Linked DNA regions of Astyanax mexicanus. The protein of the gene in region 2 interacts with the protein of the main gene of each other region in a pairwise test. Links are inferred from orthologs where the notes say so. Each region holds a gene or a part of one and is shown on either strand. Other genes may lie near its edges. The genes, in order: evlb and trim9.

What was found.
Region 1: the proteins of trim9 (region 2) and evlb interact in binary tests that used the Homo sapiens proteins (3 or more experiments, as listed by UniProt). The two-hybrid records come from large-scale screens. The link is inferred for Astyanax mexicanus from reciprocal best matches to the Homo sapiens genes TRIM9 and EVL.

The regions. Positions count from the first base shown.
Region 1 is NC_064408.1:73,271,756-73,281,871, forward strand, and holds the start of evlb (enah/Vasp-like b), read left to right. Parts: upstream 1-5,961; 5' UTR 5,962-6,518; coding exon 6,519-6,604; intron 6,605-10,116. UniProt on the Homo sapiens protein: Ena/VASP proteins are actin-associated proteins involved in a range of processes dependent on cytoskeleton remodeling and cell polarity such as axon guidance and lamellipodial and filopodial dynamics in migrating cells.
Region 2 is NC_064414.1:38,992,094-39,001,937, reverse strand, and holds the start of trim9 (E3 ubiquitin-protein ligase TRIM9), read right to left. Parts: upstream 4,687-9,844; 5' UTR 4,559-4,686; coding exon 3,662-4,558; intron 1-3,661. UniProt on the Homo sapiens protein: E3 ubiquitin-protein ligase which ubiquitinates itself in cooperation with an E2 enzyme UBE2D2/UBC4 and serves as a targeting signal for proteasomal degradation.

The DNA.
Region 1 (10,116 bases), on a different chromosome or scaffold from region 2:
ACAGTACTGTTGTCTAAGTGCAAAATTATCTGAACCCATACCCATTTTGTACCACTGCTGGAACATTTGTAATAACCGCAAGATCACACCATCCACTGTCTGCAGGGGTTAACTGAGCATGCTGCAATAGAATGCAACAAGCTAATAAAGGCATTAATTATGGCTGGTGCACATACAAATCTATCTGCCTTATCTTTATTTAAGGACAGAAAACAGGGAGACGCTCAGTGTGACCAACGTCTCTAGGTGAAATCTGATCACAGCTGGTTTCAGGAGCACATTTAGGACCAGAGTTCACACCAAGGTTAATTTCGTCTGGTTAGTTTTGGTTTCATGCTGTAGTTCAAAGAGTGGACTAAAGAACTTTACTATGTCCTTTCATCATCATCTACATGGGCTTCATCTCTCTGTACATCATATTAATGGACCAAAATTCTGAACCATTTAGAGCAGTGGTTTTCAACCTGTGGGACTTACATCCACACCCCAAATGCCAAATGTGACAGATATTTAGTTTAATTATTTGCTAAGCAAAACATGTTTAGGTCATTTTATGTCATGGTTTAGCGTAGTACAGTCACATGACAGGCATAGACAGCTAGTAGGTTAACAAGCCTAACAAGGGTCTTTGACATCTACAAGTGAAGCAGCCACTGTTTCTCTGACTGAAAGAACAAAAAAAGCAGTTGAAAATACAGCAGTTATTTCCAAAAATGTAAAAAAAAACAGTTGATGTTTGTGATGTTTTTGGTTTTTAAAGGTAAATAAAATATTCTGGTGGGCTGTGGAAAGTATTGTGGAGGGTTAAGTTGGCTGTGACTTGCAAATAGTTGGTAATGCCTGATCTAGAAAAGTGTTTATTACACTGCAGACGAACCAGACAATGGTTTAGTAGATGTGGACAAAGATCACCTTTTTTGGCCAAACTGAAAACGAAACAACTGCTATTGCATTTGGGAAATTAATTGTATAGGTGTGAAAAAAAGCTTTAGAGCTAAATTCAGAACCTTTTTAACTTGTATAGCAGAGCAAAAGTCCATCAGATAACTGTCTGACTGCACTGCTGTAGTCACTCCTTACAGTCTGACCTTGGGGAGGCGGCGCTGAACCTGAACAGATATCAGATTCAGAGACAGCTGTCAGCCTCCATCTCTCTCTCTATCTCTTGCTCCCTCTCTCTCTTTCATTCATCTCTCTTGCTGGTTCATCTTCCTTCCTTTTTTATCCATTTTTCTATGCATTCTTGTGTCTTTAGGCTGTTCTTTCTCATTTTTCTCTCCTTTGCGTCATTCGTCTTTTCACACTCTCCCTCCTCCAGTAAAACTGAATTAGGTTTGATGGCTCTGCTTCTGCTTCATTCATATGCTTATTTAATTACTCATCTCTGCCTCAATCTGTTCATCTGTGTTTCTCCCCCCTTTAATTTCACTCTCAGTAGTGCTGCTCTGTATCCAGTGTGATCGGGTGCGAGTCTAACAGAAGGCTGAGCTCCTCTGTATTGCGCTAATGGCTGTACAGTTACAGTAGACACTCTTGGCTGAGCTCAAATGGAGGTGTTCCCCTTTAAGGATTAGAATGCAATCTGCAGTCAGGCAGGAACCTGCTGGAGAGAGAGAGAGAGAGAGAGTGGTGGGGATGGTGCTGGGGGGAGGGGCTGCATGTACCTTTGTCTAAACAGCCTCTACAATATTTCCATATCTATACATCTACCTACCTGTTTGTGTTGATGGCTGACTGTATATAATGTATGATTAGTGTTATGATTAGGGTTTTCGGAACCTAGCTGAACACTCCACTTCCTGGTTCTCAGGGATTTGTATGTTCTCTTCCTGTCCACTCTTAACAAACAGAAAATCACACGTATAAATAATGATACATTAAATAATAATACAGTAAAGAAATTGGAAGCATTAATCGCTATTTCTAATAGTCTGTTATTGCTGAAAAGGTACACAAGTAGTGATTCATTCATTTTTTAGATTCAGTAACAGGTCTTTAGCATGTCTGAAGCTAGTCTTTTCTTTTAATGCTGATGTCACTTCGCTTTCAACAAGCAGTTTTTGCTTGTAACAAGCAGTTGCCAGTCAGTAAATGTATTATTTTAATTCTAACAAATCTTTCAGCTCTTCATTTGATTTCTTATAAAAATCAATTAATTTTTATTTTGTGAAAAATGCTAGTTTGTCCCATTAAAGCTATAATATCGTTTACATGACTTTGCTAATATAAAAATATACTTAATAGCTCAAGTGCATTCCTTTTCCTTGCAGTTAACTGTTGCTTAATGGTAACTATGGTATTCCTGGTGGTTTTCATGGTGTTGCTAGCTGGTTGGAAGGCGATTAATGTGGTATTCCAGATGGTTGCTGTGGTGTTTCTAAGATGTTGCTTTGGTGTAGCTAATTAAATGCTATAGTATCTTTGGTGGTGTTTCTAAGAGGTTGCTATGATGTAGCTAAATTAAGGCTATGGTATACCAGGTGGTTGCTGTCGTGTTCTTAAGATGCTGCTATGGTGTAGCTAAATTAAGGCTATGGTATACCAGGTGGTTGCTGTGGTGTTTCTAAGAGGTTGCTATGGTGTGGATAACTAAATGCTATGGCGTCCAAGGTGGTGGCACTGGTATTACTAAGAGGTTGTTATGGTGTAGCCACCTGAATGCTTCAGTATCGCAGGTGGTTGCAGTGGTGTTTTTAAGTGGTAGGTGATACCTGGTGTATCAGGTGGTTGCTATAGTATTTCTAACACAAGATGGGTTCTTTAGTTAGGTATGATTATTGCTGTAGGATTTCAGCTGCTAGGATGTTGACTTTGTGGTTGCTAGGTGGTTACAAGGCGGTTGCTATGGTTTCCCAAGTTGTTCTCACAGGTAATGTGCTGTGAGTTTCTGTATTGATTTTTAGGTAATAAAAGTGCATTTGTATCACTGTAACTTTTTCACCCTGTATGCATCACACAATTAGAATGAAAATCTGGAGTTGAAATCTCAAAACCGGCCAAGTTATGCCACAAACATCTCAGATAAAAATTATCAAAATGGAAAACAGATGAATAACTATATATTTTTGCAGTGCTTTGCAATGTGCAACCATAAAAATGTATAGAAGAATCAGTATGTTTTAGATCATAAGCCAAGTTAAGTCATAATCTGTAACTTGTGTTACTTCTATGATAACTTGGGTCTAGAATATAGCTGTTTTAGAATGTAAGCGTACATTAATTACTGTTAAAGTATGATACGTGTGAGCATATTAGATTCCTTTTCCAGCAATAAGTATCATTACTAAATGCATGTGTTGACCTGGTAATAACATCAGAGAGACGCGATTAAATGGACTGGAGATCAGAATGTATGCCTTTGTTCCTGGATCTAATTTAATTTATGTAATTTAATCAGTGTGTAGGCTTTCTGAGTTAATGAACTACATATAGGCTACAGGTCTGCTAGAGGCCTATTGATTGTTATGGATTTAATAGGAGGTTCACTGGCAGCTGCTGCTCTTATTGAGAAAGACATTTTTCATTTTATCCGCACATTATGGATGAAATACCTTACTGCTTTTTACGAAGTACACATAGACTTAGAGATATTATGTTTCTATTGTTATTTTTTTATTGCAGTAGTATTTTCTGGATATTAACAAAATATTTTCAATGTTTTCTTTCATGTTGACAAGAATAAATCAAAAATATCCTGAAATACTGTGACATTTCTAGAGCCATATTGCCCACTGCTATAGCACATGTAGTATACCTCATACAGAGTACTGCTTAAAATATGAAGGTCATCTTTTAAAATTTGATAAAACGTTAGATAATCATGATATAACATTTTAATATCAGCTTATACTCACCTCACAGTATTTTCTGTAACATTTTTGTAATATATGATTTTTATTTTTAGATTCCTAAATTTGATTCTAGGATGTAAACTGATAAATAACTGATGATGTAATACTTAAAAAGACTACAGAAAAGACTGCAGATCAGTCACAACATTTGTTTTTGCTTAAGTCTTGCAGATACCTTTTGGGACTGAATCAGAGAAAAAACGATTTGGTATGATTGTATAAAATTACATAAAGCTTTGTGATAGGATTACACAATCTAGTGCAACACATCAGAAAATAATACAAACAGAACCTTCTGAATAAGCAGAAGACAGGACATGGCCTCTACTCTGTGCTGTACACTGCAATCACAGGAAAGCACTACCTATGCTCTTACACTTCACAAATGCATCATAGGTAATGACCATATTAAACAACATAAAGCTGTGCAGACTAGACTGTATCAGCAGCAGCTCTGTAAATTGTTTCTGAGGTCAGTAAGTGTGACAGACCGTACTGGACTTTCTGTCATTATTTACTGCATGGACACTTTGGCATTAATAGTTTCTTCTGAAATCAAGGTTATTAAAAAACAAGTTTATCCTGCTTTTGTTGGAGTAACTGTCAGTATTGTCCAGAGAATACTTTTTGCTAGATTGTAAATCATTACTGTAAGAACCTGATTGCCATTCCAGACAGCACAGTTCAACTTCTTCATAGCTCAATGCTATGAATTATATCCCTCTAGCCGACGCCTGGCAGCAGGCATGTTGCCTAAAGGTTCATGTTCCTCAGGACTCTCTTCTTCAGAGAGTCCTATTCTATTCTATTCTATTCTATTCTATTCTACACTGCCTGGCTGAAAAAAAAGGTCACAAACTCTAATATTTCATTGGAGCGTCTTTAGGTCTGATAGAGGGACGCATTCACTGTGGCATTGTTTCGATAAGCTTCTGCAATGTAACAAGATGTATGGTAGAGTCTGACCGCTGCACAAAGCCTTCACCAGCACATCCCAAAGATTTTCAATGGGGTTAAAGTTTGGAGTCTGTGGTGAACAATTCGTGTGTGAAAATGATGATCTCATGCTCCCTGAATCATTTTTTTTCACAATTCCAGACCCATGAATCCTGACATTGTCCTCTTGGAATATGCCCGTGTCATCAGGGAAGAAAAAATCCATTGATGGAATAACCTGGTCTATATTCAGTATATTCAGGTAGTCAGCTGACCTCATTCTTTCAGCACATATTGTTGCTAAAACCCAGACCTGACCAACTGCAGCATCAACCCCACATCATTTACTTACTTCAATCCAAGCAGAATAAAAAATTCTGGTGTGAAAACACCCTTAAATCAGCTGAATGCATTCATTAGAAGGTGTGTCCACAAACATTTGTACATATAGAAGCAGATTCCCAGATATAATTTTAGCCTAGTCTTGGGCTACACAGCAACGGAAAGCCTAACACTAGTCTTAATCCCTGGCTGGGAAACTGACATATAGTGTATGTGTACATGTACTACACTACATGTTCGAAATATAATCGGAATTCATAATAATAGGAATTCATGTGAGATCAAAATGTTCAAACATGTTAAGTGACAACTGGGGTTTAAATGGCCCAGTCAGAATGAAAGACAGATTGTATGGAACGTTATAGTATCCCCATCACTGGGAGGGTGATGGAAGATCCTCCTGTCGCTTTAATTCTTCACTTGATCTTGATCTTGATCAAAAAGCCACAAATGCCCTTTATTAATTAACAGTCACAACCACACCCCTCCCCACTGTCCACACTGGTTTAACATTAGAGCTGACTACTCCCTAACACAGAGAGCGAGGAGGAATGGAGTGAGGAAGGGAGAGGGAGAACTGAGGAATGAATAGATGGAGGGAGAGAAGAAGAGAGAGAGAGAGAGGGAAAGAGGAGGAGCCAGCAGCATTGGCATTGAGGGGGAGGGGGGCTCCTGGCCTATGGGGCTAGCCGACCATCTCTCATGTCACAGCTGGAAGGGGAGGAGGAGGAGGAGAGAAGGATAGAGGAAGGGAGGGATGGAGAGATGTAGGGTTGGGGGAGGGAGCTGGTAATCCACTAGATGAAACGAGAAAGAGAGAGAGTCAGTGCGAGGGTGATGCCTCATAGCGAGCATCATAATTTCATTCAACCGAGAAGAGCACTCTATCTCTCTCTCTCTCTCTCTCTCTTTCTCTCTCTCATTCTCTCTCTCTTTCCACTACTCACTCATTAATGTGCTCCTCCAGTGCGGCGCTCTTCGTCTGCTCTGATTGACTGAGGATGAGATTACAGCTCTTTTTCTTTTTAAAGCTTATCACAGTTAATTTGATTTTCATTTTTTCCTCTTTTTGACTATTGACTCTGCCGAGCTCTTCAAGGATTGGGGTTTTAGAAAGAAGCTAGGAGTGTGTGAAAGAGTGCTGTGTGTGATGGACGTTGGCCTTTCTGCAACTCCTTTCTGCTTTGGACAAGGTGGCTGAGATGCTTCTGCTGTTTCAGTTACTGAACCATTAACGTTAAGATCTACTACAAGGGTAGTGAGAACGGAAGAGGGGGAGGGGATCCTGACACCCACCGAGCAAACGAGCGAGTGAACGAGACGGCCGGTCAGAAGGTAGAGGAGAAAGAGGAAAGAGCAACCTGTTCCTCTCTGCTATGACCTGAAGCGATGGATATTAACCTCCAGTCACACCGCTTCTACTTCCCCCAGATCTACTGTGATGCTGGCGCTCAGGTCACCGAGTATAAGATCAGGTAGGTTTCAGTGGCAGCTGCCCGCTGTCCTCTGTGGCTGCTCGGAGGTGTGGAGCGGAATTCTAATTGAGCGGCTTTTATGAGAATGAGGAGGTTTGGAGGATGCTTGATTTACAGTCTCTGCTGGAGCTTGCCAGGCTGCGGCTAGCGCCGACACAGATGCTCTTAATGCAATTGAAGTGTAAGACTGTGGCTCTTTTGTTTTCCCTGTGTCTCGCTCTGTCTTTCTCGCCTTCTGCAGGCTGTTGGTGAAGGTGATTCCTCCGAGGCCTCGTGAAGCTGCATCAGCAGTACAGTTAGAGCAGAATACTCTTGAGTTCTAGCTGTATAACTTCAAAGGTCTGCATTCTCAGTCTACATTCAATAGTGTAGGATGGTGCTGCTGACCTTCTGAGCTTGAATCAGCACTTTCTAACACAGGTTTCTAAAGAAAGAGCATCTTTGAGATGCAGGGGAGCATCACTTTTATTGGTTGCTCAGGTACCGTTCAAAAGAACTGATGCACATGACACAGTGTACAACAAACCTGTAGGGAGCACCGCTGGGGCTGTTTGTACATGGGATAGCAGTATGTAAATTGATCGTTACCTGTTACCTGAGGGGGTAACTTGGGAAAAGACACATTTGTATAAATTTAAAATTCTTATTTTGAGATTGAGGTTGAACACATGGACTGTTTGAGTTTTGTTAGCTGGTTGGGACATTCCATTTCTTTGCACTGGCATTTAATATTCCTAAATCCACAGGGTCACATGCAGACTGGAAATACATCATAGATGGCATTACCATCCACAGTGCACAGTGCAGTAGATGGTAATAACTGTGGCCAATCTGCAGCATTTGATTAGAATTGTCTGTGTAAACAGTTAACCAACTGGAAATAATCACATCCCTATTCAGTGCAGATGGCCCACTCACTCACTTCCACTAGACATGGCAATGGCAAAAAATAATGGGACACAATACTAAGTCCTGTCTCATGACTTTTGGCAAACATACAGCTCTGGAAAAAAATAAGAGACCACTTAGAAATTATGAGTTTCTTTGATTTAACCAAATTAAAAACATCTGGAATATAATCAAGAGGAAGATGGATTATCACAAGCCATCCTACCAAGCTGAACTGCTTGAATTTTTGCACCAGGAGTGGCATAAAGTTATCTAAAAGCAGCGTGTAAGACTGGTGGAGGAGATGCATTAAAAACTGTCATTAAAAAACAGGGTTATTCCACCAATATTGATTTCTGAACTTTTAAAACTTTTATGAATATGAATTATTTGAGGTCTGAAAGCTCTGCATCTTTTTTATCCGCCATTTCTCATTTTCTGCAAATAAATTCTCTAAATGACAATATTCTTATTTGGAATTTGGGATTTTTCCTTCTTTTCCCCAATTTTTAGATTTTTTTTTTGTCACAACACTGTTACTAATCACAGTAATAAAATATGGTGAGTTTTACTACATTTCCAGAACCTGCTCTCTTCAGTTCTGAGTTAAACAGTTTGTTTTTCGACTGGGATCAGGGCCTAGCGTTCTCAGTAACCCTGTGCTTTCATCGCCAACCTGACTTTATCTGTCCATTTCTCCACTCATCCATCGTTTCAGATTTCATCTCGCCCTCTAATCTCTTGCCTCTCGGCAGGACCCATCCATTTTTTCTCCCAATCGCACGATTAGAGCCGATTTAAAGACCCGGGCCGGGTATTTTTGGTCCTAATCAGATTTTATTTCTGCGATGGCTCAATCCTTCCTGCTGGACTGTAGAAGAAGAAAAAAAACTCAAGCCTCACCACTGGATTTTGAGTTTGGCACGGTCGCCTGCATGCTCCTCCAGAATGTGTTTGACTCACATTCAGAGTGTGTTTTCTCTGGTTTGGGAGATAATCGCTGTGTGTGTTTGACTTGGACGTAGAGCTGGTGGTTGTTCCTGCAGAGCAAGGATTGTATTACCGGCTATAAATCCATACCCTGTCCTGCAGGAATCAGGGCCAGAGAAGAGATTTTATTTGCTATCCATAGGGATTTGTCACATATTGTTTTAGTAAAGAGATGTTTCACCAACTCCAACCTCACAGAGACCTGTAGAATAAGAAGCAGGGTGGAAAATTACTGACTGAAAAACAAGTCACTATTAATGACCCATGAAGAAAAGCAGTGTGTCTGCTTTGGATGGAGGTTGTCAGATAGTTTGTCCTGTCACTTTTATAGGAATATCAATTCTTCTTTCTGTTTGCACTATAATGAGTGAACATCAGCCAGACCACAGTGTAGGGGCTTTTAGCAGTGGAGCTGGGTCACACATATTTACTGTGGTGTGGCTGTTGGGTTTTGTGGTGTGGATTTTCTGGCTGTTTACAGTTCACTGCTCTAGGGCTAAGTGTGCTGGTGCTATTAATGCTGGTGGTAATGCTGGTCAGCTGGATTGAGTGGAACAGTGAGTTCATGGCATCAGATCCAGGCTACAGACAGACACTGTGGCCTACTGTACAATCAATAATGAGGTTATTGGTACAGAAAATGGGGTTGGACATAAGAGACAATAAGAGATGGACAGAACAAATGCACTGTATGAGTTGAATGATCACCTGGATGAGTTGAATTTTACTAAAAATAATTTAAGGAACCTGAGTTAATTAAACTTAAAACCTGATGAATTGGATGGAATTTAGACTGAACAGTTTTTTATTTGCTTTATTACTAGGGGTGTAATGGTACAAACCGTCATGGTATTTGGGTCACGGTTCGGTTTGTGCAAACGCATGCAGAATACATGGTGCAGGTAGTCTATAGGAGACTTGTGGAACCAATGAACGTAATGCGTGACTAATGTTCACACAAGTGTTGCCCGCAGAAAGTGTAGCTGTAGCACTGTTGCTATTAGCAACTCGCCACTGACTTAGCCTAAACAAAATGCATAGCTCTATTGTAATACAGGAAATGTTGTTGAGTGAACAATATAGCACACAGCCAATACAGAGTTATTAGCTCAGAAAATTATACGTTTGCTTTTATCAAGGCTAAGCTCATCATAATATATGACCTACAAGTTTTCTTAAGGTAGCCTGGGGAGAATGACTACACACTGACGGTAAGTGCCAGTGACTCAAAGAAAAACAGTATGCAAATAGATCGAAAAAAAGTTGTCAAGGGCTATAGGCTAAACTCAGTTATTATAAGCTGATTTAACTCAAAAGATCCCATTTGAATCCCATATAAAACAACCACTCAATTAGTGGAGTAGATATAAAACTTCATTTTATTGTTTTAAATCGATCATTTTAGTTACGCAAAGTGTTTTAAAGTAATATACTGACCCTGAGAGGTGAGCTACCCCGAAACTGTGTGGTGAGGACCTGTGATTACAGCTGCCTTTGGACTGCACAGACTCAACTTGTAGACTCAACTAATATGGTGGATTCCACTCTGCTGTCTCATGTGTCCTTCGGATATCTTCTGCGTTAAAGCCAGTGTCTTCTTTCATTAAAACAACTGAGCATTCCATGTACTATGG
Region 2 (9,844 bases):
CAATCTAATTTCTCATTTGTACCCCTTCTTTTTGTTTTCCAGTGCCAACATTACATTTAACTAAGTTACAAGGAAAAGTAGTTGAATTCCCTCAAGAAAAGGGACAACTCCTCAAGAATTTGATACATCATCAAAAATAAATATAAAGAAAAATGCTTCATTAGCAGGCTACTAGCAATGCTCTGTAGGTGAACCTGCTAGTCTGTTGTCATAGCAAAGGAGCTGTAAATTTCAGCAACCTTACTAATGCTGGACTTTATTTAGAGCATTACCTCTACCCATAATTCCTTGGTGATAACAAGCTAAGGTCAGCTACTTGATAGCTTCCCTAGTGTCTGTTTTTGCTTCTTATGAAGAAAAGTTTCATACTACATTGTAACTACTTTAAACTAAAATAATGCAATTTTTATCAACATTTTACATTCTATGGTCGCTTGAGCAGCCATCTTGTTGGTGATTTCTCATAACCCTCTTTTTGGAATGCACGTCTAAAAAATCTCCATTTAAATGGAGCCATAACACCTCCCCCTCTATCCCAACAAGAATCGGGACATTGGGGCTAAGTGATAAGGGCACGGGGTAACATGGGATTGGGCCCAAGCAACACTTCCTTCACACTCTGAAGTGTGCTCTCTGAATTAAGTCTTCTACATCAATCACAGCATCTACAGTGCAATGATCAGAGATGTTTTGTTCACCCAGATAACAGCTTTCTCCCCCCTATCCGCTCTGTTTTATTGGGTCTGAATCACGGCGAGCTCCGTTTCGCTCGTGCTCTGAATTTTAACATGAACATTCCCGCCGTCTTGGCTCTTCACTGGCATATTCCTGTCACAACTTATTAAACGGTCAACACTCTGAATGCAGTCCCACTGCAGTACATTACTGACCAACAATCACAGACTCATAGCTGTTGTCTTGACAGGGTTCTTGATGGGGTAGAGGAATTCTGCTCAGTGAGTGAAACCCCTATTTCAGAACCTGACAGGGACAAATTACCTTCTATAGCCCAGTCTCTGATAAACATGGCTAGTGCTTCTCAGTGCTCTTGCTTAAGTACCCCTGCTCTGCAGATTTTTGTGTTTTCACTACTTTTACAATGCTTCTGCACAACAAATGTATTAACAGTGGCATATTTATTGGAGATTAGCTGGTTAGTAGAAGTTGGTGTTAGGCTATGTTCAGACTGCCAGCCCAAATCTACTTACAAATCTGCAAATCTAGATTGCGCAATTACTTTTGGGTTTGTGCAATTACAATCAGACTTGTACAGATGTAACTCGGTGTGGATGCTCTATATGCTCAGATTGCATTTTAACATTTATTTTTCGGGTCATTCACAACACAATAAACAACAGCCTTATCAAATCCAGAGTAACGTAAGTGTGCGGGTCCAAGAAGAATGCCAAAGATTATTTACTGATGCCAACATCATTACAACAGCAACCCATGCAGATATGTTATATCCAGACAGGCATATCTGATCTCATCAATTACACATAAATAGTGCAGACAGTCATCTCAGCATTTCTGATTTGATTTGCCTACAGTCTGAACATAGCCTTACAGACCAAACTTGCAGATAGGGTACATATGAGGGTATATATGAGTTTCTTTGATTTTACCAATTTAAAAACCTCTGGAATACAATCAAAAGGAAGATGGATGATCACAAGCCATCAAACCAAGCTGAACTGATTGAATTTTTGCACCAGGAGTTGCATGAAGTTTTACGAAAGCAGTGTGCATGACTGCTGGAGGGGAACATGCCAAGATGCATGAAAACTGTGATTAAAAACCAGGGTTAATCCACCAAATATTGATTCTCTTTTAAAACTTTTTGAATATGAACTTTCAGATAGGGTATACTCCAAGACCAAAACCGGAAACCACTAGGATAAAACCAAAAGGAGAAAATCAAGAATATTTTGCCTTTAGTGAGGTTCTCTTCAATCTGAGGACACCTCCAGTCTGCACTGTTACACTCCTAACAACACTTCTATTTAATTTAAATTCAATCCAATCATTCCCACATGGCTTTAGTGCACTGCTGAGTCATAGATGGTTCTTTACAGAATGCATTCGAAAAGTTTCCTCAGCCAGAAGCAATATGGCTACCAGATTTGGCATGGATTTTTCAATTTATTGCAACATTGCAGCTCGGCATAGCTGGAGTGAGTACAAGTTAGAAAAAGTTAGAACCAAAGATCTACTGCTGTGATAAATTAATGTTAGTGACCTCCTTCTATCCCAGGAGTGGACATCTATCAGCATGGAGTGTTTAAATCTATCTGCTTGGCTCCAATATTCAGATGCTACTGAAGATCTTTATTATCTTGATCAGAAGATATCACCAATCCTTAACCTACCTGCAGGGTGACAGATTTTCTAATTGACCCCTGAGACAGTTCCTGACTGCAAACCAACTATTAGCTACATATTTGAAGCTGGTGAATCACTCTTAACTCTAACTCTTACTATCTAATGACACAGACTGACTATACTGGAACACGCTAATGTTGGACTCGCATGGGTGCAGTGTGGTCTAGGTAGGCTCCGAGTGGGCATGAGCACTGAATGTGCTGTTACCCAGTAGAGCTTTGCAAATAAGGACCATAACAACCAACTTAAATCTTGAAGGTGAGGCTGGGCCATATTGTAAAAATCTTGATATTCATCAAGTTATTCCCAACAACGATTTTAGTTGTTACATAACAACTTCTATTTTTTATTTGAAAAAAAGTGATCTGTAAACAGCCCCCTTTAAACCTGCCTGCAGCTTTTGTAATAAACATGGTTTATTACATGTTAATTTCAGTTAATTAAACATGTAAAGAAAACCACTGCCAAATAAAAGAGTTTTTATAGATTTCTGACAGAAGCACATCTATCTACTGAGATTCACACTGACAGTTTAGAAAATAGTGGCTGATCCATCTCATGTGCTTCACCATGAATACCAACTCCTCCCCTCAGGCAGAAGGTACAGGATGCCAAGATGCCAGCTCAATAGATATAGGAATTCATTTGTGCCAGTTTCTATAAAGCTCTTAAGTAAAAAGCATAGGTAATGTGCAATACCGCTCATGGTTTTGTTTGATAAAATGTGCAATATAAGTAAGGTCTAGGGTTGTGTAGCACAGTCTGTGTTGGGTCAGAGGGAATGTGTAAAATATGCAAATAGTAGCAAGGTCAAGGGTTTATGCAATATTTCTGATATGTAAATATGTGATGTTGTATAGAGTGTTGTGTGTATTTTTTTTTTCAAGGATAATGTCCCCATTGGGGACAACAAAGTCTAATATATTATCTTATATGTAAATTATGCAATCTTGATTATCCCATTTTGAAATTTACATTAGAACATTAATTTTATTAACATCCTACTAGACATCATACGAAGTGTACAACACAAATGGAACCCCTGTTTCTGGTCCCATCACTCATATCCACATATGGTTCCAACATGGAACTCATGAATAAAACTGTCTGGCTACCCATAAAAGGTCGAACATTGGTTATCTTTGGAACAAAATACATTTTCCAGGATAACATACAGATTACAACCTGTAGATATGCTTATAGTAGACCTAATTGGAGGTGTTCCTCATTATTCTGCGCACACGCACAAGTGCACACAGCTTTTCCTTCCCCTCCTCACCTTGTGCAGTTTCCACATCGCCCCGAGCGCTTTGACCTCGTGCGCGGAGTGCCTCCCCTCCTCCAGGCACTGGTAGCACACGGGCATCTTGCACTGCACACAGTACATGCTGAGGTTCTCCAGCTCGTGCTCCGTGCATGTGGAGGTCTTGCGCGGGCTCGCGCGGCGGCTGATGCGCCCCTGCGCGGGTGGCACGAGCCGGTGCTTGGCGAGCGGGCCGCGGGGCGGGTGGCAGCGCACTCGGCACGCGTCGCAGTAGAAGACGTCGCACTGCTCGCACAGCACGGTGGCCTCGCGCGGGGTCTTCTCGCACAGCTGGCAGCGCAGCGCCGCCGCCTTGCTCTGCTGGTAGCGCTCCACCACCGCCTCCAGCACGCGGTTCTTGGGGAAGCCGCGCAGGCCGCGGTCGTCCAGCGTCAGGCTGCGGTGGCACTGCGGGCAGGTGAGGCAGGCGTTTCGGGGGATCATCATCATCATCATGGCGGTGGGATGAGGGTGAGGGTGGGGAGGTGGAGGGGGCGCGCCGGACGCGGTCGGCGGGGGCAGCAGGTGCTGCTGCTGGGACTGCTGGGGGGGCGGTGGGGCCGGCGGAAAGACGCGCACCCCGTTCGGGGACTTGGGGCACGGCGTGGTGGGCGCGCTCGCGAAGCCACCGTAAGAGCCGTAGCCGCTGTCCGCCTCGCTGTACAGGCTCATCTTGTCCAGGTCCAGGTAGTCGTAGTCGGACGCGGCGGAGCCGGAGGCGCGCGCGCTCTGTGGCGAGTCTGCGTCCGGCGTCTGCACCAGGATGTTCCGCGCGCACGCCAAGCAGATATTGTGCGAGCAGGGCAGGATGATGGGCTCGCGGAAAAACGAGCCGCACACCGGACACTTCAGCTCTTCCTCCATCTCCTCCATAGTGGCTCCAAAACGGTGGGAAAAAACCGGGAATGTAAAGAAAAACAAAACAAGCGCTACAGACCCCGGCTGTAAATCTCCCCTCCGTCCGCGCGCAGCCCCCTCTCCTCGGAATGAGCGCACAGACCCGGAGGAGGGGAGATTTATACTGCAGGGGCGGGACCACAGCCTCGACCAATCACCGACCGCGGAGGATGCGCTTTACATCACTAACTAAAGCCCACAGTAAGCAGATATTGGTCAAGGCAGCTGCCATATTCAACGGCTTAGCCAAACAGCAAGCAGCAAGCTGTGGCCGGCGTCCAGACAAAAAAACTAAACTCCTACCGAGACATCACACAGCACTTAAAAAAAGACACGACGACTCAAGACGTGACCATAAAGCGAATTAGGTGAGGAGGTATTCTGCAGCCCCTGCACTCCCGATGCTGTGTCCCAAATCTTTCCTATCTATCTAACACTTCTTCAGTAGGACAGATACATAGATAGATTCATACATAGATACTTTATTGATTCAGATGGTAATTTAGCAGCCAGTAGCCAGTAATTACACAATACAGAACAGTAATACAAAACAATAGTAAGTATTTAAAAGCTATAAAAAACAGTGAGTACATGCACAGCAGGACATCAATATATGGTACTTTCAACTATAAACATAGCACAAAAAGTAAAGGAAATTTGTGCATCTATTGCTGACATATGTGGGAACCGTAACTGTCCAATGAAACACATGTATCTCCAAAACAGCAACTTTACAGGAGAGAGATAAAACCTTCTTAACTTTTTATGGAAGTCAAAGAGATTATTTAAGGTAATTTTGGATTATTTCTATTGGTCCATTCATCAAATCTATTGGTCCATTCATCAGTTTGTGTGTTCAAAAAAATTATATAGAAAACTAAAATCGACGAATCTTGAGATACTTGAGATTACAATGAAATGCACACACAAAGCATTTCTATAGTTTCCATAGAGATGTATTGGTAATAAAATAGCTCTCTCTGGAGCAGATAAACAGGAACCTATTGTTTAATGTCAGGCATGGAGTGAAGATGTATAAATCTCACTAGTATTGATCAGTGGAACAGTGTTCTCTGGAATAATGACACTCATTTCAGTACTGAGGTGAGTTGGGAAGATGAGGATGAGAATGAGAGTGGTGACAATTCAGCATCCTGATCTCATTAATGCAATATCTGGTGGAAAGTCGTCCCTGGACAGTAGAAATGTTTACTCCACAAAAGCAGGATCTCCAGAATGCTGGAGATGTGTACTGATGTGAATATAAAACATTAGGGATAAGCACACTAAAGACACACAGATTAGAAGTACAAGGAAAGCTTGTGAACAGTATTTTAAAATTAGCATGGATCATTATGCCCCCTAACTCTGGAAAAGTGTGTTTTATACTGGAGAAAGAAATTGGTTTGCAGCTGCAAGAAGACAAGTGAGATAATGTGACTGGCAGTTTATTTGGAGTGTTTAATATGTGTGTCTGCTGTTACTGACTCTACAGAGTTCCTCAGTTTTATTCTGCTGAGTCTTGAGGAGGCAAAATGTGAAGGGCACCCAGGTTAAATTTCAGCTACTCCATGAAGCTTTACTGGTGACATTGCTTATTAAGGAATTTGCATAACAGATGGTTGGGTGAGGTGCATGGATTCAATTATAATTTTAAAATGGCATTTACATCTAGTGTGACACATCCGCAGGGCCCTTTTCTGCAGGTCTTCTCAGTTCCTGGAAGTTTCTGGTGGCTAATTAGTTTGGCAGTTGTTTTCTACTCTCTGATTTACGGTGGCCGAGAAAGCCCAACGCAGTGCAAATTGAAAAGCGCTGCAAAAGCACAAAACACATCCATCAAAATTACAACACAGGCGCAGCAAATAGAAAAACGCGCTGCAACTAGAAAAACGCGCTGCAAATAGAACCACAACACAACGGAAGTGAGTCACAACACAACGGAATTTTCCCGGGGGACCTTAAAAGATACTGTACCAGCTAAGCTGCGTCTTCAGTAACGTCTCGGACTTCACTATGTGTACAAAGGACAATAAGTGGCAAACAAGGCGTTTTGTGAAGCAGAACTTTTAATAATATGCACACAACCGTGGTAATCACAGGTAATAAACATAACTTACTTTTCAGAAGCTTGTTTGCCACTTATTGTCCTTTGTATACAGCTGGTACAGCATCTTTTAAGGTCCCCCGGGAAAATTCTGTTGTGTTGTGACTCACTTCCGTTGTGTTGTGGTTCTATTTGCAGCGCGTTTTTCTATTTGCAGCGCGTTTTTCTTTTTGCAGCGCGTTTTTCTATTTGCTGCGCCTGTGTTGTAATTTTGATGAATGTGTTTTGTGCTTTTGCAGCGCTTTTCAATTTGCACTGCGCTGGGCTTTCTCGGCCACCGTACTGATTTGTTACAGGCCTACAATGTCAAAAAGCTCTATGTACACTTTTAATTCCAAACATATAAATCCACAGTGGAACTGGACATGTTGATCTTCATGATGATGCTGATGTACACTCACCTATAAAATTCTAAATCTTAAATAACTTTACCCTAACTTTTCATTGTACAATTACAATTAGTTTGAATTAGACTTGCAACTAGCTTTTTTCCATCTGTTTTATTTGCTTGACCATAGCAATTGATATAACACAAAATTGTGAAGTTGAATTAAGTACAGTTCCAGTAAACAAACTTTTTTTTATCAAATAATTTAATAAAAAGTAACCTATCCAAGGTTAGAGTGTGTCTCTATTGTCCAAATAAGGATTATTCCTATCACAGATGTGGACTAATGTAGTGTTAGGAGTCTTGCCCAAGGACTCTTATTGGTGTAGCGCGGCATAGTCACCCAGACTGGGAATTGAACCCCAGTCTCCCACATGATGTGGTAGCTCACTAGCAGGTAGTGGCCTAGGCCTTAATGCATTCTAAAAAAAAAAAATCAAAGTGTGCTGTTTACATGTATATAATAATTAGCATAAACATTCTAGTGCAGGAATGTCCTGACATGTTGTGCAAATGAAAAATAAACAATAACTTACATAACTGGAGAAACCCAATTACGGTCAGAATATTGAGTGCATTAAATACACTTCCTGAGCCAAATTCGCAAAGAAAAAAAATGCATACATAAACTGTCATATATAAATGACATAAAATGATTTACCTAAATATAAGGCCAGTGTATGCACTGGAATGCTGACAAGAAACAAGGAACATCTGAAGAGTTAATTTGCAAAAACAGATAAGTGCTCTTCTTTAAATAGACCTTTATGTGTTTTTGCAAATGAACTCTTCAGTGTAACTTTGTGGTTAGTTTTGGTATTATGAATGCAGTGTATGACGTGAATATGAAGGGAATGAGAAGAAATAAAAGAATGTGCTTTAAGGCAGGAGTTTTTTTTAAAGGTGAATAAAGGAGCTGAGAGTACAGCAGCATACTGTAGTAGCCCCTTTATTAAGCAGGGCACTTTTGTCTGACAAATTCCTACTGAAGAGCACTATGCACATGCAGTATTATGGGTTACGGAGAGTACTGTGAGTTAATAGCAGGCTTAAGTGTGCGTAATGTGTATGTGAGGTGTGAGGCGTAAGCGCTGAGGACGAGTGCTGCACACTATCTGTAGGTGTTAATGCTGTAATGGTGAGATACTGTATGAGAGTTCAGTTTGTTGTCTGTGGGCCAGAAATGTCAACAGTGCTGAGTTAGAGTGTTTTCTCTTCTCTGGAGCGCTGGATCCTGATGAGTGCAGCTTTACTTTGTCCCATTGTTCCTGCCTTCAGCCGTGTTTCCAGGGTAACCTGGCTGAGTGCAGAACGAGAGAGCAGCAAAGAGAGAAATAGCCTTCACTCAAACAGAACGACATGCTGGCATTTTAAGGGTCCACCCATCGGGTGGTGGAGTTTGGTAGGAGGCAGTGTGATTAGGTAGCCACAACACACACACATACAAACACACAGGTAACTTGCAAATTCTGTGACATATACAGTATATACACTGACATGCCAGAAGTCATGGAATAGCCAGATGTAAATTGATCATGAAGTGTTACCTCGGGGGATGGCTTGGAAACGCTCATGTCTGTGTGCTGTTGGCAAAGTGCCACATTTTTTTTTAACACATATAGTGTCACATGTGTAGCAGAAATATGTACATCATATAATTAGCACCCACAGGGGACAGCACAGTGGCTGGTAATGATCGTGACCAGTGGCGCCTTGCTAGAATTATCCATGCAAACAGAAAAATGGGCATGTTTTTTACTGTTTACTTTTTTACTTTTCAACTACCTTGACCATCAAAGCTTAGTTTATATGATCACTTCATGATTAATTTACATAGTGCTATCCCATGACTTCTGGCATGTCAGTGATATATATATATTAGTTTTTTACATTGATTTTTAGGCATAATTTACATACAGCTTCTACACTTTTAAATGTGTAAACGCTAAATTTATGATAAATAGAAACAGTACAACTTGTCAAAGGTACCAGACATGCCAAATATCATGGGACATGATTGGAAGATCGCTGGTTCAAATCCCGGTCATGCAGCTTGCCATCAGCTGCTGGAGCCCTGAGAGAGCACAATTGGCCTTGCTCTTTCTGGGTGGGTAGATGGCACTGTTTCCCCTCATCACTCCAAAGGGTGATGTCGATCAGCACAAGGCGTCTGTGAGCTGATGTTTCGGAGCCGAGGCGCTGCACTTTCCTCCGAGCGCACTGGTTACTCCGCAATGGTACATTAGCAGCAGGCGGTGGCTGACTTCATCATGGGACATGAGCTAGTATTGTGTCCCAGGACATTTGTCATATCCCGTGTAAACTAGGTCAAAGTGGGTCATGCTGCATTGACCTGTAGGTCATGTGGGTCTCTTGGATTAAATGTGGATGTGATTTTTGCCAGAGTTGCTTGTTTGTTTGCGCGGGTCAGGTCTTTTTAAACACTGATAATTCACGTTGCTTTGCTATGAGCTTGCTGGCCAGTGTTCAAGCTCACATACAAGAAAACACCTCACTATTTACCCAGGTGTGGGCTTTTCTCGAGCTGTCCTCTACGGCAGCACTTCATGATTAATTGACACACTGATTGACAGACTTTTGGCCAGTGAATATATTATACAGAGTGTTTACAGACTTTAGAATATATTTGGAATATATCAAGGACATAAGGACACATACATTATATAGAGCACTATTCCTGTAATAGGGAGTGATTCTGAGGACAGTGTGTGTGTTTGTGTGTGTGTGGTACAGACAGTGTAACTGC